Callithrix jacchus: one gene and its partners. The protein of the gene in region 3 interacts with the protein of the main gene of each other region in a biochemical or structural test. Links are inferred from orthologs where the notes say so. Each region holds a gene or a part of one and is shown on either strand. Other genes may lie near its edges.

Evidence for each region.
Region 1: the proteins of BCL10 (region 3) and CARD11 form a complex in vitro, tested with the Homo sapiens proteins (2 studies listed by BioGRID, with this or other methods). The link is inferred for Callithrix jacchus from reciprocal best matches to the Homo sapiens genes BCL10 and CARD11.
Region 2: the proteins of BCL10 (region 3) and IKBKB form a complex in vitro, tested with the Homo sapiens proteins (2 studies listed by BioGRID, with this or other methods). The link is inferred for Callithrix jacchus from reciprocal best matches to the Homo sapiens genes BCL10 and IKBKB.
Region 4: the proteins of BCL10 (region 3) and IKBKG form a complex in vitro, tested with the Homo sapiens proteins (3 studies listed by BioGRID). The link is inferred for Callithrix jacchus from reciprocal best matches to the Homo sapiens genes BCL10 and IKBKG.
Region 5: the proteins of BCL10 (region 3) and CARD9 form a complex in vitro, tested with the Homo sapiens proteins (2 studies listed by BioGRID). The link is inferred for Callithrix jacchus from reciprocal best matches to the Homo sapiens genes BCL10 and CARD9.

The regions. Positions count from the first base shown.
Region 1 is NC_133503.1:19,485,087-19,488,692, forward strand, and holds the end of CARD11 (caspase recruitment domain-containing protein 11), read left to right. Parts: intron 1-1,722; coding exon 1,723-1,927; 3' UTR 1,928-2,422; downstream 2,423-3,606. UniProt on the Homo sapiens protein: Adapter protein that plays a key role in adaptive immune response by transducing the activation of NF-kappa-B downstream of T-cell receptor (TCR) and B-cell receptor (BCR) engagement.
Region 2 is NC_133514.1:44,089,466-44,094,209, reverse strand, and holds part of IKBKB (inhibitor of nuclear factor kappa-B kinase subunit beta), read left to right. Parts: intron 1-265; coding exon 266-375; intron 376-1,427; coding exon 1,428-1,477; intron 1,478-1,585; coding exon 1,586-1,685; intron 1,686-1,885; coding exon 1,886-2,033; intron 2,034-4,744.
Region 3 is NC_133508.1:122,509,798-122,515,267, reverse strand, and holds the start of BCL10 (B-cell lymphoma/leukemia 10), read left to right. Parts: upstream 1-2,324; 5' UTR 2,325-2,390; coding exon 2,391-2,447; intron 2,448-5,470. UniProt on the Homo sapiens protein: Plays a key role in both adaptive and innate immune signaling by bridging CARD domain-containing proteins to immune activation.
Region 4 is NC_133524.1:150,333,442-150,338,732, forward strand, and holds the start of IKBKG (NF-kappa-B essential modulator), read left to right. Parts: upstream 1-1,644; 5' UTR 1,645-1,743; intron 1,744-5,291. UniProt on the Homo sapiens protein: Regulatory subunit of the IKK core complex which phosphorylates inhibitors of NF-kappa-B thus leading to the dissociation of the inhibitor/NF-kappa-B complex and ultimately the degradation of the inhibitor.
Region 5 is NC_133502.1:184,836,994-184,841,382, reverse strand, and holds the end of CARD9 (caspase recruitment domain-containing protein 9), read left to right. Parts: intron 1-55; coding exon 56-104; intron 105-1,855; coding exon 1,856-1,932; intron 1,933-2,525; coding exon 2,526-2,602; intron 2,603-2,686; coding exon 2,687-2,786; 3' UTR 2,787-3,091; downstream 3,092-4,389. Other genes in the region: DNLZ (DNL-type zinc finger protein), read left to right, coding at 3,315-3,542, 4,214-4,353. UniProt on the Homo sapiens protein: Adapter protein that plays a key role in innate immune response against fungi by forming signaling complexes downstream of C-type lectin receptors.

The DNA of each region.
Region 1 (3,606 bases), on a different chromosome or scaffold from region 3:
GGCTAAGACTGAAAATGCAGAAACTGACAAGTGTTGGTGAGGAGGTTAGATGTCAGAACCCAGCACGCTGCTGCTGAAAGTGCAAAGTAGAGCAGCCCCTGTGGAGGACGGCATGGCGCTTCCTCAAAAATTAGAAATAGAAGACCACAGGATCCATCAACCCACCTGCGGGCATATCCCCAAGGGAACTGAAAGCAGAGTCTCTAAGAGATATTTCCACGCCGGCATTCACACCAGCGTCACTCCCAATAGCCAAAACCTGGAAGTCACCTAAGGGTCCATCAGCGGGGAGTGAATACACACAATGGGGCCCGTCCACACAGGTTAGGAAGGTGTTAAGAGCTGAAAACCTTGCAAACTGTTAACCAAAAAGACTTGAAATAAAGAAATCATAATACATGTTAATATAAGAGAAATTATAGCCTGGTACATGCCTATAGTCCCCCTTCCCCATCCGTCCTGCCTGGAAATGTGTTTGTGGTGCAGAGTGTACTGCACCAAAAATGCTGTATGATTTTTTGGGTGGTTTTTTTTTTTTTTTTTGAGATGGAGTCTTGCTCTGTTGCCTAGGCTGGAGTACAGTGGTGCCATCTCAGCTCACTGCAGCCTCCGCTTCCCGGGTTCAAGTGATTCTCCTGTCTCAGCCTCCCAAGTAGCTGGGATAACAGGTGCCTGCCACCATGCCTGGCTAATTTGTGTATTTTTACTAGAGATGGGGTTTCACCATGTTGCCCGGGCTGGTCTCGAACTCCTGACTTCAAGTTATCCTCCCCCTCAGCCTCCCAGAGTGCTAGCATTATAGATGTGAGCCACCATGCCCAGCCCATACAGTGGAATATTATTCAGCCTTCAAAAGGAAGGAGATTCTGACACCCACGTCAACATGGGTGAACCTTGAGGACGTTATTCCGTCAAATAAGCCAATCACAAAAACACACGTGCTGTATCCGATTCCACTTATATAAGGTCTCTAGAGCAGTCAGATTCCTGGAGACAGGAAGTAGAAGGGTGGTTCCCAGAGACTGCGGGAGGGAAGATGGGGCGTGAGTATTTTATTGGTCCAGAGTTGCAGTTTGGGAAGATGAGGAAGTCTGGAGATGGTTGCACAGCAGTGTATACCTAATGCTACACAGAACATACCTAATGCTACTAAATTCTTCACTGAAAGAATAAGTAAAACGGTCGATTTTATTTTATGCATATCTTAGCACAATTAGAAATTAAAAGGATGTAGCCGGGCGCAGTGGCTCATGCCTGTAATCCCAAATTTGGGAGGCCGAGGCGGGTGAATCATTTGAGGTCAGTAGTTCGAGACCAGCCTGGCAACATGATGAAACCCCATCTCTACTAAAAATACAAAACTTAGCCAGGCATGGTGGTGCGTGCCTATAGTCCCAGGTACTCAGGAGGCTGAGGCAGGACAATTGCTTGGACCTGGGAGACGGAGGTTGCAGTGAGCTGAGATCACGCCACTGCACTCCAGCCTGGGCAACAGAGCAAGACTCCATCTCAAAATAAAAATAAAAATAAAAAGAATGGGTTTGGAATTTCCAGTGAACAGCATGAAGGGGCATGGTCCCTAGCATTAAGAGTCACAAATGATATAAGGGAGAAGCAAGGCAGGAAAGGAATGGGGGCTGCGGCAGTGAGGGCTGGCCAGGCAGGTGGTGCCACACCAGTGCCACGACAGCCACCCCACAGCCCCTGCACATCTCCTCCCAGAAAGCTGCTGCCCCGGCCTGAGACGGAGGAGGAGTTCCTGCGCATGTGCCGGCTGAAGGAGAAGGAGCTGGAGGCCCTGCCGTGCCTATACGCCACGGTGGAACCTGACATGTGGGGCAGCGTGGAGGAGCTGCTCCGCATGGTCAAAGACAAGATTGGCGAGGAGCAGCGCAAGACCATCTGGGTGGATGAGGACCAGCTGTGAGGCGGGCAGCCCTGGCAGAGATGCTGTGGGCATGGGTCATCCTGTGAGGCAGGCACCCCAGGCAGAGAGATGCAGCAGGTGCAGGGGCATCCTGCAGCCCACAGAGCTGCCCTGGCGGATGCTCTGCCCCTCGCAGTGATGGAGCCTGGGGGGACAGACGCGCCCGGGGAGGAGCAGGGCACAGTCCATTCCCCCAGCCCCAGCTGACCTGGCCCAGCGGTTTGTCCCTGCTGGCCTTCACAGGGAGACAGGGCTGAGCAAAGGACACCAAGCCAGAGCCCCGGGGCCAGCCGGCCTCTGGAGAACCAGAGCAGCAGTTGAATGTAATGTGTGGGATGAGTGTGCTGCCACCAGTAGAGCAGGGACCCTGATAGCCAGGCGTCCACCAGTCCTGGGGACACACTCACCCTAAACACACTCCCAGGCAGGACAGATCGGGGAAGTGGGTGTGTACCAGGCTATGATTTCTCTTGCATTAAAATATATTATTATTTCTTTGTTTCGACCCTTTTTCTTTGTTAACAGCTTGCAAGGGTTTCAGCTGTTGCCACCTTCCTAACCTGAAAACCACGCCCAGCAAGCTTAGCTGGGGACTCAGGCCCCATGTTCCTGTGTAGGGTGAAGGTAGGGTGACCACACACCCCAGGGTCCCAGGACAGGCCTCATTTATCCCTGGAATTAGGGTGACACTTGCTAATCGTACCCCATGGACTCAAATGCATCCTGATTTGGAAGATCAATAAATTGTCTTATCACCTTGGGAAGGGCCCATCCTCTCACAGACCCTGGGGACCCTTGTGGTCTGTACCTGGCCTGCCCTGTAACTCCAGCCCTGAGGCCAGGCCCCCATCACTCAGCTCTTCCCTGCACGTCACTACCCCTGCCACAGTACATTCAATGTCCCTAGAGGGCAGCCCGACTTCCTCCTGCAGGTCAAGAGCAAGCATGTGGGGTACGGCCCTCTGGGGGGTTCATATCTCACTGCCCAGGAGTTTGGGGGGCGCAGGAAAGCCATTCCCACTCCCCAGCAGGTAGCAAAGGCCCTAGGAGTTCTAGAACCATTCTTCTCCTTCGCCCTCTTGTTGCAAACTTGCCTGGTATGGACCCAATAGACACAGCCAAACCAGGCCAGGTTGCACCCTTGGCAGAGCACCACGGGGCATGTGCAGGAAGCTGCTGGGTGGCAGGCTCGGATTCAAACCCAGGCCTCTCTGTCTGTGGGAACTCTGGGAGCAACTGCTCGCTGACAACCTAGTACTCAGACTTCCTTCCTTCCTAAGAGCATCCTGACTTATCCTGAGAATCTACATGTACAACTCAAAGACCATATGTCCCAGCCTCCCTTGCAATCAGGGAAATGTAAGGGGAGGTTTGGGGAGAGAGAAATGGTGCTTCCTCCAGTTTTCTGCTGGGATGCAGACACAATGGCTGGAGCACCAGCAGTATTCTTGCATCTTGAGGTGACCATGAGGATGGAAACCCCACTCGGAGGATGGTAGAGACAGAAAGGGAGAAGGAACCACAGTCACTAATGACACTTGGGGGCCTAAGACTACTCCTTGGGTTTCTTTTACATGAGACAGAAAGAAATTTGTATCTTATGTTAAATGACTGTTATTTCAATTCTCTGTTCCTTGCAGCCAAGAGCAATTCCTAACAGATACGGGGAAAAACTTTAT
Region 2 (4,744 bases), on a different chromosome or scaffold from region 3:
TGACTCCTCCGCCCTGTTAGAAGCCTATTTTATGCAAAAGGAAACTGTACCTGGGGGTAAGTAACTTGCCCAGGGGTCACACAACTGGAAAGTGGTGGACTGAGAGGCAAACGTAGCCATTCTGACTCCACAGTCCACATTCCTTTGAGCCAGTCCATTGAGAGTCCTCAGGGAGTGTGGAGGGACCCTAGCCTTGCCCGGACAGATCTTGCATCTCAGAATGCTCCTACCACATCAGTTGACATTAGCACAGCTTTTCCATTAGGAGAATGAAGTGAAACTCCTGGTGGAGCGGATGATGGCGCTGCAGACCGACATTGTGGACTTGCAGAGGAGCCCCATGGGCCGGAAGCAGGGGGGGACACTGGATGACCTGTGAGTATCAGCTGGGGGGTCTCACTGTGCCCAGCACACACAGACACCCCTGGAGCTTCTGTGTGTGTTGAGGGAACCCTCAGTGGCTATGTGGGACCATTATCCTCTAGAGCATGCTACCCTGTGGGGTTGTCTCCAGCAAATCATCACTAAGCCTCAGTTTCCAAATCTGTTCAGTGGCAAGAAAAGCAGTCTGACCTCACGAATGTGTAACGATTAATTCAGATGATGCATTTGAGAGGTAGTCCGTAATCTGTAAGGCTGTGAAATGCAAGCAGCCTCTACGCCTGTATCAGACTCCCCTGATTTGCCACACCCTGATTTGCCACACCCTGATGCAGGCATAGCTCAGAGCAGAAAGTAAGAGAGAGAAGGAAGAACCCGATGAGGCTTAGGAGTTTGGACCTGGAAACCGTTCGTTTGAGTCTCTGTCAGGTATTTGGCATTGGCTCCAGGAGGGGAGGACCGTTCTGGGAAGATCATTCTTACCTGAATATCATGTGTATGTGGTCCTGGTGTGCAGATGGAAGGAACCAGGCAGCCTGGGTCAGCCTGTCAAGGGCTGTGTCACTGTGAGCTCAGCAGTGTTCCCTGATTAGGATTCTTAGGACAGGAGCTCTGAATGTCAGAACTTTGATTCTGTATTTTCTCTATTTACTTAACCCTTTATTCTCCTCTAGTTATTATTTTTTTTTTAAGAGACAGGGTCTCGCTCTGTTGCCCAGGCTGGAATGCAGTGGCACAATATTAGCTCACTGTAGCCTCAGCCTCCTGGGCTCCAGCAGCCCTCCCATCTCAGCCTCCCAAATAACTGGGACTATAGGCACATCCCACCATGCTCAGCACATTTAAAACAAATTTTTTTTTGGCCAGGCCCAGTGGCTCACACCTGTAATCCCAGCACTTTGGGAGGCCAAGGCAAGAGGATTGCTTGAACCTAGAAATTCGAGACCAGCCTGGGCAACATGGTGAAACTCTATCTCTACCAAGAAAATATAAAAATTAGCCATATTTTACCTCAAATCTAGACAGAACTTCTTTGTATATTTTAGAGAGGAGCAAGCAAGGGAGCTCTACAGGAGACTAAGAGAAAAGCCACGAGGTAAGTGGGGTTCTGTGTCTGCCTTGGGCTTCTCACTATCTCATTTTTGGGGCATCGCTACTCTCTGCTGGCTTCCTTGAGGAACTATGCTACCCTCCCTCTCTCCAGACCAGCGAACTGAGGGTGACAGTCAGGAAATGGTGCGGCTGCTGCTTCAGGCAATTCAGAGCTTTGAGAAGAAAGTGCGAGTGATCTATACACAGCTCAGGTATGAGCCCCAACCTTCCTGCTCTGGAGGAAGGACTGGGAGATGTAGGCTGGGTGCGAGGTCCCCTTCCTCCCTCTGCTCTGATTTGGTGGACCTCGTGAAGCGACTTTCTGCAGCTGCTGACCAGATGCACAGTTGCCACGGCTTCTGCTTTCCCCAGTCCAAATGCCATTAGAGTTTGTCGTGTTTATTCTTTGCAGTAAAACTGTGGTTTGCAAGCAGAAGGCACTGGAACTGCTGCCCAAGGTGGAAGAGGTGATGAGCTTGATGAATGAGGATGAGAAGACTGTTGTCCGGCTGCAGGAGAAGCGGCAGAAGGAGCTCTGGAATCTCCTGAAGATCGCTTGTGTGAGTGAGCGCTGTGGCCCTAGGCCCTTGGCCTGCCAGCCGCCTGTGCCTTTCTGCCTCTGTGCACTGCCGCTATCCCACACGGGACACCACAGAGCCATCATTAGCCCACTCAGCTGCTGCTCAGTTTTCATGTCACTGTTTTTTGACTTGGCGTGAGCAGGGAGGTCAGAGTAAAGGCCTGTGCTAATCATTTTCATTTATCTGTGTATTGCTTTCCTATGGCTACTGTAAAGATGATCACAGACTGAAAGGCGAAAACAACAGAAATTTGGGCCAGGCATGGTGGCTCAGGCCTGTAACCCCAGCAGTTTGGGGAGGCTGAGGTCAGAGGATCGCTTGAGCCCAGGAGTTAAAGGCTGCTGTGAGCTGTGATCATGCTGCTACATTCCAACCTGGGCAACAGAACAAACCCTGTCTCTACTAAAAACAAAAACAAATGTGTTATCTGAGCTCTAGAGCCCAGAAGTTGAAAGTACCATGTCAGCAGGGCTGAGCTGTCTCTGAGGGCCCTCAGGGTGGGACTGTCCTTGCCTCTCCAGCTCCCGGTGGCTCCAGGCATTCTTTGGTGTGTGACTGCATCACTCCAGTCTCTGTCTCTGTCTTCATGTGACCTGTGTCCCTCATCTGGGTATCTCTTATAAGAACACTTGTCATTGGATTTGGGTCCCACCCAAATAGTCCAGGGTGATGTCATCTCGGGATCCTTAATTTCTTTTTTTTTTTTTTTTTTTGAGATGGAGTCTTGCTCTGTCACCCAGACTGGAGTGTAGTGGTGCAGTCTCAGCTCACTGCAACCTCTGCCTCCTGGGTTCAAGTGATTCTCCTGCCCCAGCCTCCTGAGTAACTGGGATTACAGGCGCCCACCACCACACCCAGCTAATTTTTGTATTTGTAGTAGAGATGGGGTTTCACCATGTTGGCCAGGCTTATCTCAAACTCCTGACCTTGTGATCCGCCCACCTCAGCCTCCCAGAGTGCTGGGATTACAGGCATGAGCCACCATGCCCGGCCGGGATCTCTAATTTAATTACGTCTCTAAAGACGCTTTCTGCAAGTATGGTCACTCTCACAAGAGTTCCAGTAGTTGGGATGTGGCATATTCTTAGGGCCACCCATTCAGCCCACCGTCATGTTCAGCAGTGCGACTTAGTTGCCCATTGCCTCCATCCGTGCTGCCGTCAGTGCAGTAACCCAGGCTTTCTGTACACACCATCTTAACATAGCTGTGAGTCCATGGAATGTCACATGGGGGGAAAAAGTGAAACAAAACAGCCATGAACTGAGATGGGAGAAGTGCCAGGGCTGGCCACGTCATGGGAGCCAGAGCTGCTGGGAGTGGGAGCCCTATTGTGAAAGGCTGCAGAGAAGGTGACATGGATGGAAGCGTGACTTAGGCATCATTTGCCTTTAAAAGCTAAGGGCCAGTTTCTACAATGAGGATAAAGAAATAAAATTTTTTTAAAAAAGAGCAAAGGGAAGGAAAGGGAGATGGTTGTTCATGGTGGAAGCAGGAGGTGGCGCCCTAAGAGATTGTCATTGTCAAAGGCGGAGGGCATGACACACACAGTGCAGAGAACAGAGGGACTGGGGTCACATGCCAGAGCGCTGGGGAAGCCTTGGGACCATGAGCGACATACCTTCCTGTAAGAAGAGAGGAAAAGGAGAAAGCAGGATAATGCCATAGAGAGGATCTGAAGAGGAGAGGGAGGTGCACGTATTCACAAGTGATACCTGATGTGTCCTTTACATCCATTGGGCATTTATTAAATGCTGACTGTATGTCCAGCAAGACACACCAGGGAGAAGGCATGGCACCTGTTCCCAGGAGGGCCTGATCCTTTGAGGGGCACAGATGGGCATAAGCGAGAGCTGCTCAGGGTGGGAAGGGCTGGCAAGCAGCTCCAGGAGGCATGAGCTGCAGTTTCTGTGTGCAGGGGGAGCTCCAGCTTTTCTTAGAAAAGAGGGAACAATAAGAAAGTTCATAAGGAGCTGTCCAGTTGAAGAGTGAGGATGTTCCAGGACAGAGATGTTGCTTTATCAAAGGCAGAGAGCCTGGGGAATCCGTGTGTTCTAAGTGGGGACAGGCTGGTGTGTGGGGGGAGGCTGCGATGGAGAATGAAGCTGCTGAAGAAGACAAGGGCAAGCTTATGAGGGCCATGCTTTGTTTTGTCATGCAGACTGGAGTGCAGTGGCACGATCTCAGCTCCCTGCAACCTCCGCCTCCTGTGTTCAAGTGGTTCTCCTGCCTTAGCTTCCCAAGTAGCTGGGATTACAGGTGCCCACCAACACACCCAGCTAATTTTTGTATAACGTTTTCTTCCTTTTTTGAGACAAAGTCTTGCTCCATCTCCCAGGTGGAATGCAGCTGCACAATCTCAGTTCACTGCAACCTCCACCTCCTGGGTTCAAGTGATTCTCCTGTCTCGGCCTCCCAAATAGCTAGGACTATAGGCTCATGCCACCACACCCAGCTAATTTTTGTATTTTTAGTGGAGATGGGGTTTTACCATGTTGGCCAGGATGGTCTCAAACTCCTGCCCTCAAGAAGTCTGCCTGCCCTGGCCTCCCAAATTGCTGGGATTATAGGCATGAGCCACAGCGCCCAGCCCATGTTTGTTTTCAAAGCACACAGGACATGGCAGGATCTGTCTTTTCCTTTGATATTAAAGGAACTCGAGTGTGGGGATGTGATCACATCTGGGATTTGG
Region 3 (5,470 bases):
AGAGGGAGAGCCAGAGCTGTCTGTCTTGCAGACGAACAGTGGGGAGCCAGGACAAAGCTCGGCTTGCTTGTGCCCAGACAGAGTAAGAGTATAGCTGCTGACCCTGAAGGCAAAGCCCACCACACACCTGTGTGGGGGTGCCGCTGGACTAAGCAGCTGAGACAGGGCAGACAGTATAGACAACTAGTGTAAGAAAGCTGTTGATGAGAGTTGCTGCTGAATAAAATCTTTCACCTGTCTATGGTCCTCCCGGGTGTTTCTTCTATTCATCCACCCACTCCCCTTGGACCTCAGCAATGGGCTGGAACCTGACCCCAAGCATGACATTCGAGGAAGTGGTGACCCTGACACTGTGGTAGTCTCCACCTGGTGTCTGCTTCTGCCCTTGCCCCTGCCTTCTACTCTCCACTCAGCAGCCAGAGTGATCCTTTCAAAATGAAATCAAACTGCTTCCTTGCTTCTCTTCAAAATGCTCCCATCACCCTCACTGCTCCACCCTGGTCTGAACCACCACCTCCTGGGGCCTGAATATAGCAATAGCTCCCTAACTGGTTTTCCCTCTTCCACCTTCTCTTCCCTTAGCACAAAAGTGAAAGTATTTCTTTTCAAATCACAAATCGGATCAGGTCACTCAGCTCACAACCCTCCAGTGGCTTCCCGTCTGACTCAGCACACCCATATGACTCAGCACACAAGTTCATCTCCTTCTAGGCACACTGAGCCTTTTTGTTGGTTGCCGGCTGTACTCATAATGCTCTCTCCTTATATCCACACGAATCACTCCCTCACTTCCTTTAAGCATAAATCAAATCCCTTATCTCAGTATTGACAAGCCGAGAGCAGACTCCTCCAAAGTGAGCAGTGCAGTCATCGACCACGTTAGTTTAAATGTTGCCAACCCACACAGCCTCATCCTACTTCCCTGTTTTATTTTTTCCTCTTAGCGTTTATCATCTTCTAATATATTAAATAACTTATATATAGCTGGTCATGGGGGCTCGTGCCTGTAATACCAGCACTTTGGGAGGCCAAGGCCTGGAGGTGGGAGGCCTGACAGATCACCTGAGGCCAGGAGTTCCAGACCAGTCTCACCAAAGTGGTGAAATCCCGTTTCTACTAAAAGTACAAAAATTAGCCAGGCATGGTGGCACGCACCTGTAGTACCAGCTACTCGGGAAGCTGAAGCAGGAGAATTGCTCGAACCCAGTGAGCAGAGATCGCGCCATTGTGCTCCATCCAGCCTGAGACAGAACGAGACTCCATCTCAAAAGAATAAATAAATAAATTCATTAATTTAAAAAACTTAGATATAGCTGGGTGTGGTGGCACGCGCCTATAATCCCAGCTACTCGGGAGGCTGAGGCAGGAGAATCACTTGAACCCGGGAGGCAGAGGTTGTAGTGAGTGGAGATCATGACACTACATTCCAGCCTGCGTGACAGAGTGAGATTGTATCTCCAAATAAATAAATAAACTTAGATAAAAATTTTCAAGTGTCTACCTCGTCTGCCCCAAACACACATAGGCTAGAATATAAATTCCATGAAGAAAGGGATTATCAGTTTTATACACAGCGGTTTTCCTAGCACCTAGAACAGTGTCTGGCACATAGTGGACAATCAAAAAACATTTTTTTCTTTTCTTTCGAAAATTTTTTTTCTTCAAAAATTTCTTCAGTATTTTAGTTACGCTGTTTGTGTGTATGCATGTGTACGTGTGTGTGAGTGCGTTTGTATATGCCCAAAACAGTAACTGACAAACATAGCATCAGGAAATTGTAGGGCAGGATCTGGGAAAAGGGGAGGAACCCGAAGGTACGGACAAGCCTATACCGGACTCCCCCGAAGTGAGCAAGCAGCAAAGGCTGACAATGCCAGCTGCCTGGGCACTGACGGATCCCACCCACGGAAACGTTACCTTATGGGGAAGCTAACCCGGGCCACTCGCCGACGACCTGCGCAGGCGTGGCTTGAGAAGCGGCCCCGCTGTGGGCGGAGCCACCGGAAAGGCTCCGGTGGGGGGCGGGAACGGGAGCGGCCAGCGGGGTGCCGCCGATAGGCTGCCGCAGTGGCAGGGTGGGCTCTGCCGAGGAACCCGCCTCGCCCGGGGGCGGTGCCTGCACCTTAAGCCTCTGGGAGAGGGAAGGAGCGCTCCTCCTAGCTCCGCGTCGCGACGTCTAGATTTGCGACGCCGTCGACCCCAGGGGCGGGGCCGGAAGCGCTACGGTTTGACCCCCAGCTCTGTTCCCGAAGGGGCGGCAGTCTTTCTCCCTATCCGCTCCGCCTCCTCGCCTTCTCTCCCATTACCCGGAGGCCGAAGCTCTCAGTCAGGGCGGGGCGGCGGAGCGCGAGCTCCTAGACCCGGAAGAAGCGCCATCTCCAGCCTCCACCATGGAGCCCACCGCGCCGTCCCTTACCGAGGAGGACCTCACTGAAGTGAAGAAGGACGTGAGTAGCGACATTCTGCCCAGGGCAGGAGGGGGCGGGCTGCAGTCCAGCGGGCGAGGGAAGCGGAAACCTGGAGTCCGAGGACAAGGAGGATCCTCCAGGTCGGAGGAGCGGAAGGTCCCAGCACGGGAGGAATGCGGCGAGCCCTGCATCCGAGGGACCTGGGTAGCAGTGACCTGTTAATCTAGGTTTTACGTCGATAAACGCAGAGCTTGGGCTTTGGGAACCTTGCCCAGCGGAGCTTTGCTTCTTGCCCACTCCTCTCCCATCCCCGCATGCTTTTCCCCCACTGCGTTCTTGGAGATGCTTCTTTAGGGACTGGCGGCTCAGATTCATCCTTGAGTCTGGCCGCCTAGGCTACTATATCAGCCTAGAGCAAAGGTTGTACCAGATGAAGGATCCCGAGCAGTGGACCAAAAATGTGAAGCTCTTTTGCATAGGGGGCTGGAGGAAGCTCAACAGCTGAAAGCACAACCCGGAATTCCCCTAGTTAGCAGACACCCACATATTTAAATTGGGGTTGGGGGAGTGAATACACGTAGCTGAGAATTATCCTACAGGTAAACGTCGAAAATATTCAGTAGCTAAATTATGCTCTTCTCGGATGGTGCAGAACTACATAAACCTTCATATTGATTTGTATCGCATGGCTTTGTTGAGATATGACATTCTTTTGTGTTTAGTTACTTGTTTTGCCAGATGAGACCTATATGAGTTTCACTAAAACACTTTATATAAATTCAAATTAAAAACAAACTGAACATGAAACGTGTTCTTATTGAGCATTGCGGTACTTTTACACAGTCATTTTGGTGAACTGGACAGGATGGCAACTTTTTAAATGTTCATCCACTTCAAATCCCTTCCTCTTCCCTGTAAGGTTTATTACACTGTACTCACAATTGGTGTGACTCACCAGCAGAAGGAAACTGGATATGACTGGGACTTGTGCTTAGTTTCCTCATTCAACAGAGATTTATGGAGCACTTACTATATGGAAAGCACTGACCTTGGGTCTGGAAGGATACAAAAAATGAAGATCAGTTTCCTGCTTTATATTCTAGTTGAGATAAGAATGGCATATAAATAAACTACTGTAGAATAAATGTTGGCTTATTCATAGTGAGTACCAGTAAAACCTTGAACTTCCAGGAGCTAGGCCTCCTATGTTCCACATTCTGTGTCACAGTTTACAATGTTCCCACTTAACCTTCACAACAACCTCTAAAGAAGATAATTGCCATTCACATTTTACAGCTAATAAAACAGGAACTGAGAAATTACAAGTGGAAGGAAATAAGACCTGTATACAAATACAGTTGTAAAGACTGGCTTCCAGGTCTTTGTTTTTCTGTCAGTTCATTGATGTTATCCATCTTCAGGATTTCATTTTATGCTTATATCAGAATTGCATAACCTTGAAATGATGGATGGATTTCAAAAGGTCTATGAAAAAAACTATGTGCATGCTTTCTTCTTAGAGATTTTTTTCATGATATTTTCAAAATGTTTTCTGATCTTAGAAAGTTTTAAAATTATCATCAAAATATTTGGACCTCTCTCTCTACTCTTGGTCCTTATTTCCAAATGTCTACTGGAAATCTACTTTTATATCCTACAGATTGCTCACCTTGACAAAAATTGAACGTTTTATCATCCTTCCCCCTCAGTTGCTTGCTGTTGCTGCTGTATTGTCTGTCTCGATGAATGGTGTGCTACCACTCTTCGTCTTGGGACCGCTCACTTCTTTAGTGTCTCTTGCTGTCTGGTTATTTGCCTCATCGTGTTGGTTGGATTTAGTCCAATTTAATAAATATGGATTACATGCTACTGTGAGGCTGATACTGTGGTTGGTTCTACAATTTAAAAAATTAAAAACTAAGACAATCCTAACTTGAAAAGAGTTCAGTTTCTTGAGGGGGATCATTTTAAATCCCAAAAATAAGTGCAGTGAGTTTTGCATTCATCTGAAGCATTATCTACTTGGTGCTCTGGGTTAAGTACAGGATAGACAGTGTTGCTTAAAACATACCTCTTTGCTGCCTGCTTCAAACAGAGATGTTAGAGTTGAAAACAAATAAATGTATTTTTACATTTATTTGTTTTCATTATATAAATGAAAACAAAATAGATTTATTTGTTTTCATTATGGCGGTTATTATGAGGGAATCAAACAGTGCCAAGACAGTAATAGGGGAAATCGACTTGAGATAGGATGGTCAGGAGAGGTCACATTTAAACTGATTCCTGAAGAATTTGACAGAACTGAGGGAAGAGCGTTCTAGGCAGCATAGAATTTGCCAAGGACCTAAAACAATCAAGACCTTGGTGACTTGGAGAAATCGGAGGAAGGCAGAGAGGATAATCTGAAATGCAGTTAGGAAGGTGGGCTAGAGCCATTTTCATGAAGAGCTTTTTAGTAAAGTGTTTGGGTTTCTTTTCCCCAAAGTATAGTAGGGACTCGTTGAAGAATTGTATTTTTTAAATTCCCTCTGCCTGTTTCATGGACTGAGGAGAGCAAGAATAAGAGCAGGGAAACCATTGAGCAGGCTCCTGGAATCTATGTGGATGAAAGATGATGGTGATTTGGATCAGGGTGAAGGCAGTGGAGATGGATGAGCCAGGAGAATTCCAGATGCATTTTTGAAATAGATAAGATAGGACATGGTGATGGACTGGACGTGAGAAATGGGGAAGAGGATGTTTAAAAGTGAAGTGTTAGCTTGAAAATAGGGTAAAAAAAAAAAAAAGAAAGTGTTTATTCACACAGGAACCGATCACCTAGCCTACTTTCCCGCCATCATATTCTAGGATATTTCTAAGACCTTCCATTACCTTTGTCATCATCACTAGCATATATTGATCCCTTACTCTGTACCAAGCACTTTTTTAAGCACTTTGCATATATTAATTTATTCATTCCTCATATAACAGTCAGCTGAAGAAACAAGTACAGAAAAGTTAATTACTTGCCCAAGATCCTGTGTCTAGTAAATAGAGGAATTAAAGTATAATCATTGGTA
Region 4 (5,291 bases), on a different chromosome or scaffold from region 3:
ATGACATAGACTTCTTTTGAGAGGGAGTCTCGCTCTGTTACCCAGGCTGGAGTGCACTGGTGCAATCTTAGCTCACTGTAATCTCCCACCTCCTGGGTTCAAGCAATTCTCCTGCCTTAGCCTCCTGAGTAGCTGGGACTCCAGGCATCTGATACAGAGCCTGAGTAATTATTGTATTTTTAGTAGAGATGGGTTTCCCCCAGATGGGTTAGCCAGGCTGGTCTCAAACTCCTGACTTCAGGTGATCTGCCTGCCTTGGCCTCCCAAAGGGCTGGGATTATAGGTGTGAGCCACTGCACCTGGGCGTGACATATATTTCAGTAAAACATGATAAAAAGTAATAGACAGTCTAGGCATTGTAGCTCACGCCTGTAATCCCAGCACTTTGGAAGACCAGGGCAGGTGGATCACGACGTCAAGAGATCAAAACAATCCTGGCCAACCTGGTAAAACGCTGTTTCTACTAAAAATACAAAAAATAAGCTGGGCATGGTGGTGCATGCCTGTAGTCCCAGCTACTCGGGAGGCTGAGGCAGGAGAATCACTTGAACCTGGGAGGCAGAGGTTGTGGTGAGCCAAGACCACGCCATTGCACTCCAGCCTGGGTGACAGAGCGAGACTCCATCTCACACACACAGATGAAAACAAAAGACATGCTCTTCAAAGCGATCAGACACTGCAATCATGGATGGGTCCGTTTCTATGAACCATTATAGAATGGAGGCCATGCCACCAGGACACATGCCCCCATGAAACAGGCAGTTAGGAAGCCACCGGGGGCTTCCAGGTGGGAAATTGCTATGGTGTGCATCCCTTGTGTGCTCTGCTTCTGCCCCTCCTTGGGTGAGCTCGGTGCAGGGCTTCAGGTGGGAGCTGCAGGCAGACTGCTCCTGAGTTTCTTCCCGGCCCAGTTACAAGTGTCTGTGGGTCATCTCCAGGCTGCACTGGGACCTCAGCATCCCCACAGTGGGCTGTTCCCAAACCAGGGTTGCCTGTGTTGGTATCGGGGGGCTCCTAGCCACCTGCCATTTATCTCTTGAGCACTCTGGAGTGGGGCTCTCCTGTAACTGCCACATGAAAGTTTTATAAATGGTCTCTTTGCCCCCCAGATGCTGCAGTGACCGTCTTGAAAATAAAGTTCCAGCCCTGCCACCAGCTGGTCTTGGACCACCCATGAGACCTTCTCACCCATCACTACCCGACATGAAGCCCAGTGCAGCCCTCCTAGCATCCAACTTGCTGCTCCCTGAAGCCACAAGGACCTCTTGCTTCTGCATCCTTCCAAGTCCACCTCAGACGACCCCTCACCCTGGGGTAGGAGTTCCTCCACTCTGCTCCTCACAGCACCCTGCCATCAGACTGGGGAGGGGAACACTGGCCATGGCACATCAACTCAGGGTTGTCCCCGCACACAGAAAGGGCCAGCTCGCTGGGAACTAACTTGTCCCTGAATGAAACGGTAATAACCACAGCCTGCAAATACCTCTAAGCCTCACTCAAAGCAGGTCATGTTTGCTCATGACCAAATTCTGGTAGATCAGGAGGCATTGGGACAGACTACAGGAAGGTACTGTTGGCAGGGGACTGGTCTGCTGAGTCACAGCGGCCCCACGCTCCAGGCTGTTTGTTCCTGCTGCTCCCTTTGGGATTAACTGGAGATTGAACCTGTTCGCCTTGTTCCAGCTCAGCCCCTGCAACCGACTGTCTGCTGGGATCCGAGTCACCTGAGAGAAGTGAGTCGAGGTAAGACAGAGGATGGCGTGGGTGGGGGAAGGCCAGGCAGCTCTTTCCCATGGTGACGAGGAGCTAAGCTGAGCTGAGCCGAGCAGAGCCAGACTGAGCTGCTCTCCTCAGGGCTCAGGGCTAGCCCTGCCCTCCCAGCTGGCTGCAGCGCTCTAGTGGGACTTTCTGGAGGGACAAGTACAGGAAGACATGGGAAAACCTGACAGCTTAGTCAAGAGTCTACTCCTGCCATGTGGGTGGGGGCAATTCAAGGGATCCTTAGTGAGAAGCAGCTGGGAGCTTCTCATTTTCCCCACGCCCTCCTCTTTCCTGAGGACCACAGCAGGGGAGGGACCTTCTTGAGGACACAGGGTGACTTAGTAGAAGCAGGACACGATTAAGATCTCCAGCCACCAATGTCTGGCTCGGCCAGGGCAAAGGGACCTAGGCCACGACCTGTTTTATAAACCCAAATCGCTACAGCTCGTCTTGGCGTGAGGGTTTCATGGTAGAGGGCGATGCCTGCTGGAGAGCCAGCAGGGGTAGGCCACCCCATCCCCAAGGGTCGCTAGGGTCAAGGACCTGCCCAGACTCCCTGGGTGGAGCCCGAGAACCTGGGGGCTGCTGAGTTAGCTCAGTTGAAAAACCAACGAAAGGGCCTCCCTCCTAAACCCAGGGGCTCATGAGTCACCGGGTCTTTGGGAGAGTGCCAACATCATCATGACACAGCAAGAATCTTATCGGACCAACGGAGAAGTCAGCCCAGAAATGTTCCGAGGAAAGGGAGGGGTGGGGGCCGCTGAACGCCCAGCAAGCCCATGGCCCTTGTGATCCAGGTGGGGAATCTGAGGCCCAGACAGGTGAGGAACCCGTAGACTCTCAGTCCCAGTCTCTTCCCCTCACTCCCTGGTAGGGGTGGGAGTCCTGAGAAGGTGGGAAGTGGCCCACTTGGTAACTCTGAGCCGTCATCAGGGCCCCCAGGAAGGAAGCTGGGTGTGTGCGCAAGTGTTGCGTAAGCTGGCCAGGAGGAGGAAGGGACAGATGAAGGCCACGTGGGTACAGCCTGCCCCAGGGTGTCCCGCTTCCCTGGCTGTGGGTCTGCCAGCCACTTGCCTGCTTGCAGTTTCTAGGTCACGCCAAGCTAGTTCCCAACTCAGGGCTTCAGGCATTTGCTCTTCCTTTTGTGTGGGTGCTCCTCAGCCTGCCCCGGCAGGCTTGCTCTCCAGGCCCTCCTTGTGGGATCTATGCGCTCTGGGGGGCTGGGAACACAGGGCCCACATGTATCTTCTGCTTACTTGCTGTGGTTCCCTGGCCACCACAGCACATAGGTCCCATGAGGAGGGCAGGGACTGGCTACTGTGGCCCAGAAGTGCCCGATCACTCTCTTCTAAATGAATGGAAAATGGGCTATTTTCCTGGAGCAACAGATTCTAGGATTGGGTGCCCCCAAGTGCATCGAGTGAGGCATCGGGCACGGAAGGAGCCTGGGAGTGGGAGCTGCTCCAGGTGCTGCCTGAGCACGCCACCCCCACCCGCAGCAGGAAGAGGAAGAAACCAACCACAAGGCCCTTCAGAGAGAGGACCCCTTGTCCTCTACCCACAGTGCTGGAGCTGGCACCGTCAGAGCAGAGGAGAGCAAAGGGGAACCCTACTGATTTCAATGAAACAAAGTTGCCCAATACCAAGCTGGCCACAAGTGAAGAAAGTGAAATGACACAATCAGCTTGGAAAACCCTAAGGACCCTGGGCACTTGTTTCAAAAGCTGTCATTTGCTACATGAAATGCTGACAGTCAGAGAAAGGAAAACACTTGCTCCAAGTCACACAACAAGTTTGGATGCTCAGTGAGGTTGTCTAATGAGAGCTGAAGGCCTGGAGTCATAAGCCATCATTGTGGCCTGGGCTGCTGTGTTGTAGTGTCCTTGTGACAGCATGGGGTGGAGACAGGGAAAGGAGAAAGCATCCTCAGTTACCTTCTCCTCTAGTCTGCTTCTTGCACTAAGGGCTTAATGGTCAGAGTCCTAGGTGGTAAGGTTTGTGACTGATGCAGGTATGGCTCTTTTAATTTTTTTTGACATGGAATCTCATTCATTCTGTTGCGCAGGCTGGATCACTGCAACCTCTGCCTCCCAGGTTCAAGCAATTCTCCTGCCTCACCTTTCTGAGTAGCTGGGATTACAGGCAGGCGCCACCATGCCTGGCTAATTTTTGTATTTTTAGTAGAGACAGGGTTTTGCCATGCTGACTAAGCTAGTCTCAAACTCTTGACCTCAGGTGATTGCCCGCCTTGGTCTCCCAAAGTGTTGGGACTACAGCTGTGAGTCACAGGGCCTGGCCAGGTATGGCTCTTCTGAGAGGACTAGGCTGGGGCTGAAGGCAAGCCCAATCCACTGTGGGCTCCACCTGGGTACCTCTCCTGGGTCTCAGGCATATGGGGAGTCAGAGGACAGTGCTTGGGGTGGCCCTTCCTTACTTCTCCCTCGGCTGCCTCCTCATTCCTTTTCTAAGTTCTGATCAGAAGTACAAAGGTGTCAAGGAGCAGGTTTGCAAAGTGTGACACTGCATTGTTGTACGTGAACAAAGAACCACTAAGCTCATCCAGCACTCAGGGACGCGTGATGAGGAAGAGCTCATTAGTTTTGAGAGAGCTCTTGCTCAAGGTTATAAGATACTTTTTTTTTTGAACTGGAGTTCTGCGCTTGTCACCCAGACTGGAGTGGAATGGTGAAATCTTGGCTCATGGCGAAACCTCTGCCTCAGCCTCCTGAGTAGCAGGGATTACAGGTGCTTGCCACCACGCCTGGTTAATTTTTTGTATTTTTAGTAGAGATGGGGTTTCACTGTGTTGACCAGGCTGGTCTTGAACTCTTGACCTCAAGTGATCCTCCCACAGTGCTGGGATTACAGGCGTGAGCCACCGTGCCCGGCCTGGTTACAAGGTAAATGAATGGCAAAAATGGTCATACGGTAGTGAGCAGATTGAGTGCATCCACGATTAAAAGTGAAAACTGAAACGTATAATTTGAGATGAAGCTCTTGTTTCAACAGCCCCTGCAGTCTCACTGCCCCATGTGACATAGGTGAGGGTGCTCCAGTCTGGGTGATGGCTCTATTAGAACCGCCCCTTCCAGGCCGGGCACTTTGGGAGGCCAAGGCGGGTGTATCACGAGGTCAGGAGATCGAGACCATCCTGGTCAACATGGTGAAACCCTGTCTTTACTAAAAATACAAAAATTAGCTGGGCATGGTGGTGCGTGCCTGTAGTCCCAGCTACTTGGGAGGCTGAGGCAGGAGAATTGCTTGAACCCGGAAGGCAGAGGTTGCGGTGAGCCGAGACCGTGCCATTGCACTCCAGCCTGGGTAACAACAGCGAAACTTTGTCTAAAAAAAAAAAAAAAGGAAAAAAAAGAACCGCCCCTTCCTCTCCTCCCTCCCCTCCCATGTAAATCCTCATGCTATACTATTCTTTGGTCTTTCCTATGAGTACAAAATGGCGGTTCCACAAGCTGGACAATTGGGGCCAGGTGGGGTGAAGCAGAGCTCCTTGGTAGGCTTTGCAAATTGAGGCA
Region 5 (4,389 bases), on a different chromosome or scaffold from region 3:
CAGGTCCAGTCCCTGGCAGAGGGGCCTAACAGGACATCTCGCTTCTCTTCCGAAGCTCTCGCTCCCCCAGGACCTGGAGGAGGACACCCAGCTCTCAGACAAAGGTGAGGAGGTGATGGCTGTGCACCCGGAGGCCTCCCAGCTGCCCCAAGCGAGGCCCATCTTCAGTGCAGGCAGCCGTGCGTGACACACGCCTGTCTCGGCCTCTACCACCCTCACTCCACAGATGGGGAAGCTGGGGCTGGGGGATAAGTAAAATGGACATGGCACCCAGAGAACAGACCAGAGTCCAGTTGGAACCCAGGGCCCTGGTTGGTGGGACAAGTGTTCCCTGTGGTGGGGAGTGTGGTGCCCCTTAGGGCAGCCCCCACGGTGCAGAGTCCTGCCTGCTCCAAGCTTCCTCTTGGGCAGAGAGAGGTGGCAATGAGCAAATGCCCAGGTGCACGAGGCTAGGGGTGAGAAAGAAAGTAGGGTGAGACGGGACTCCCTGGGGCTTGAGGGACAGGGCCCAATGAAGGGGTGGCCAAGGGCCTGCTGTGTCCCGGGGCCATGGGGCGGGGCAGTGTCGGGGGCTTCTAGCGGTGGGGCAGGACCCCTCTGCCTGTCTGGAGAAGGACTGGGGTTGCTAGCTGGGAGCAGCCTGAGTGCCCAGAGTGGGCCGTGGTTATGGGGTAGGTGTTTGCTCTGAATGTGGTATCAGGCAGGGGTCGGGGAGGGCCCGGGGGAGGGGCCCTGGGAGGCTGCATGGGAGTCGGACAAGCTTCTTGAGCACCAGGCTGTGGCCTTCGAGCTGAGGCGGAAAGGGAAGATGGAGTTGCAGATGGAGAAGTGAAGACCAGCACCTTTGGCCGCAGCCCAGAACAGTTGAACGTGGGGATGCTGAGCCCCCACGTGGGCAGAGGCGAGCAGGACCCAGGAGTCCAGCTCAGGCACTACTTCCATCCCCTGGGGTGGCTGTGGCAGAAGCCCCAGGGGGCAGGTGTGAAGGTCAGAGGGTGAGCAGGGGAGGATACTGGCTCTAAGGAGGGGCTGCCAGCCACCAGGATGGCCCAGGTCTGGCCCTCCCTGGGGCATAGCTGAGACTGGACGTACGTGGTTTCTGCCCAAGGATCCTGATCCCTGGTCTGCCCAGGTTCTGGCAGGTTTTGAGGGGTCCAGCCACCTGAAGGTTTTCTCCCAATTGCCGCAGTACCCCAGCCCCCCCTCGGGAGGGCCAGGACAGCCAACGTGGCATCCCCAACCCTCTCCCCAGGGCTGACATGCCCACAAATGCTTTGGAGTGATGGGGGGCAGTGCAGCTCAGGCCCCACCCAGGCTTAAGCTCCCCTGAGGTCTGCGAGGCCTTCCTGCCTGGGGGGCAGCCAGCTCTCCGACAAAGGTAGGAGGTGGCAGCTGTGCACCCAGAGGCCTCTAGGCTGCCCTGAGCAAGGCCCATCTTCAGCACAGGCAGCCCATGACATGTGCCTGTCTCTGTTTCCACCACCCACACTCCACAGATCTGGAAGCTGGGGCTGGGGGATAAGTAAAATGGCCAAGGTCACCCAGAGAACAGACCACAGAGACCAGGTGGAACCTGGGGCCCCAGTTGGCAGGACAAGTGTCCCCTGGGGTGGGGAGGGAGAGGCAGTCACTGGTGGGAGTGCTGGGCCTGGGTTGCTGTCCAGCGGCCTCCTGGGGCAATGAACAGGCAACCTACAGAATGCAGTCTCCACTGGACCCACGTGGGGGTCCCACCAGGCCTTGGAAGACAGCCCCACAGGGTGTCAGCAATGCCGAGGAGGGGTGTGGCAGCCTGGCTGTGCGTGGCCCTGCAGGTGGGGTGGGCAGACCCCGCAGGAATGACTCTCCTTTCCAGGCGGCCTGGCCGGCGGTGGGAGCCGGGAGCAGCCCTTTGCAACTCTGCACCAGGAGCAGCTTTCACTGATTCCCCATGTAAGGCTGTCTCAGGATGGGCTCCCCCAGCTGGGGGCCTCAGGGTGACTGATCACAGGGAGGGTGGCTCCTCACCCTGGGCACCCCCTGCAGTGGTCCCAAAGGCTGAGGGGTGACCGACCACAAGGTCTCTGTCCTCAGTGCTTGGGGTGCAGTGTCTGGGATGTGAAGGGGACCACCCTCCTTTCTCGGGCACTGCAGCAGCTAGTGGAGGCTTGGAGGTGGATGCACCGGGTCCTGGTTTCTTGGGGGCCTTTACAGCAGATGCAGCATCAATCCTGAGTAAACTGGCACAGGAGCCCTGACAGCAAGGGCTGCCTCAGGCTTTGTTGTAGAAACGAAGGCCTGGAGCCCAGGCTGGAGCTGTGGCTTGGCCTCCTGGGTGTGTCCTGGCATCTGAAAGGCAGAATGCCCACACTGGCTCCCCTCCTGGGGTACAGGCAGGTCCCCCGGGGCAGACTTGGCCCTGAGCTGGGCTGAGGCTGTCTGGGCTCCCTGCTTCCCCACCAGTCTTCAGTTTCAGGGGCCAGTGGGGGGTGCGTGACAAGGGTGGGGTCCTTCGGGGTGCCGGCAAGAGCCTTCCCCTTCTCCAGGACGCAGGCCTGAGCAGCGGGGAGCCCCCAGAGAAGGAGCGGCGGCGCCTCAAGGAGAGTTTTGAGAACTACCGCAGGTAGGCAGGTGGCCCCCAACCTCCTCCAAAGTGGACTGGGGAGGGGTAGCCGGGTTTGCGCCTGAGACCCCTGTGTCTTCGCAGGAAGCGTGCCCTCAGGAAGATGCAGAACGGCTGGCGGCAGGGGGAGGCGGACCGGGAGAACACCACGGGCAGCGACAACACCGACACCGAGGGCTCCTAGCCACAGCAGCACGGGCCCGGCCCAGGGCACGCCTACCGGCCCTGCCACCCACGGGTGCCGACGCCCTGGGCTTGGAACCAGGAGTCTGGTGCCCTGAAAGCCCCAGCCCGGCCCCCGAACGTTGGGGTGTTCTGTTAAGCGACCTTCAGCTTGCGGAGCCCACGCGGGTGCTCGCCACCCCGTGCAGACGCATTTGCGTAATGTCAGGGTCTGTTCTATTTCACTATGTAACACACGATACATGCATGCATTGTATAAGTGTTAGAAAACGCGGCTACGTAAATAAATAACACGGGTGACCCGAATTCCCGCTCCCACGCTCGGGAGCAGCCCTACGACCGTCCCTCCTCGCTGCGGACCCGCGATGTCCTGGGGTGCGGGCAGCACGTGGGCGCAGAGCCCCCACCAAGCTGCCAGGGGGCGGCAGATCGCAGCGCGCCCCAGCCCGGAGGCCCAGATAGGCCGCTTCCGCCCGGTGCCCGCTTCCAAGATGGCGGGGGGGCGGGGCGGGCTGAGTCCGCGGGCGGGATGCTGCGGGCGGCGCTGGGCAGCACGCCGAGGCTGCTGTACCGCGTGCAGCCCCGGGAGTCCTGCCTGAGGCTGCTGTGGGGCCGCGGGGCCCGCACGGAGGTCGCAAGAAGGCGGCGGGCCTTGACCTGGGGCTGGCGGCGCTCAAGCTCCGAGCCTGGGCCGGGGCCCGAGGCGGTGCTGGGACGCGTGGAGGTGGCGCACTACCAGCTCGTCTACACTTGCAAGGTGGGCACACGGCGGGACGGAGCCGGGGCCAGACTCACACCTGGCCCTAGACGGCCTGCGGGGAGAAGCAGCCCGGTGCGGGGAGGTCTTCCGGGGGGGTGGGGTCAAGTCACAAGAAGGGGTGGAGCCATCCCTTGGGGTCTGGTGGGTGTGAGGCCTTCTGGGAGGGAGCGGGGTCGGACCACGAGAAGGGTTGAAGCTATCCCTGGTGCGGGGCCTTCCCAGGAGATGGTGAGGCTGGGGTGGGTGGAGCTATCACTAGGGAGAGGGGCCTTCCCTGGAGAGCGTGAGGTGGGTGGAGCTATCCCTCGAGGGGCAGGTCTTCCGGAGAGAGGGTGTGGGATGGGTGGAGCTATCTCTCAGGGGCGGGGCCTTCCCCGGAATGGGTGAGGCGGGTGGAGCTACCCCTCGAGGGGCAGGTCTTCCCGAGAGAGCGTGTGGAGTGGGTGGAGCTATTCCTCAGAGGCGGGGCCTCAGAGATTTTGAGGTGGGTGGAGCTATCCCTCGATGGGCGGGTCTTCCCGAGAGAGTGTGGGGTGGGTGGAGCTATCTCAGGGGAGGGGCCTCCCCCGGAGAAGGTGAGGTGGGTGGAGTTACCCCTCGAGGGGTGGGTCTTCCTGGGAGGGGCGTGGCGGTGCTCACAGCCTCACCAGCTGTCCTGTCCCAGCCAGATCTGTGGGACTAGGTCCTCGAAGCGCATCTCCAAGCTGGCCTATCACCAAGGCGTGGTCATTGTGACCTGTCCAGGCTGCCAGAACCACCACATAATCGCAGACAACCTTGGCTGGTTCTCGGACCTGAATGGAAAGAGGTGAGGCCTGTACCCTAGGGCTGGGCCAGGAGCCCA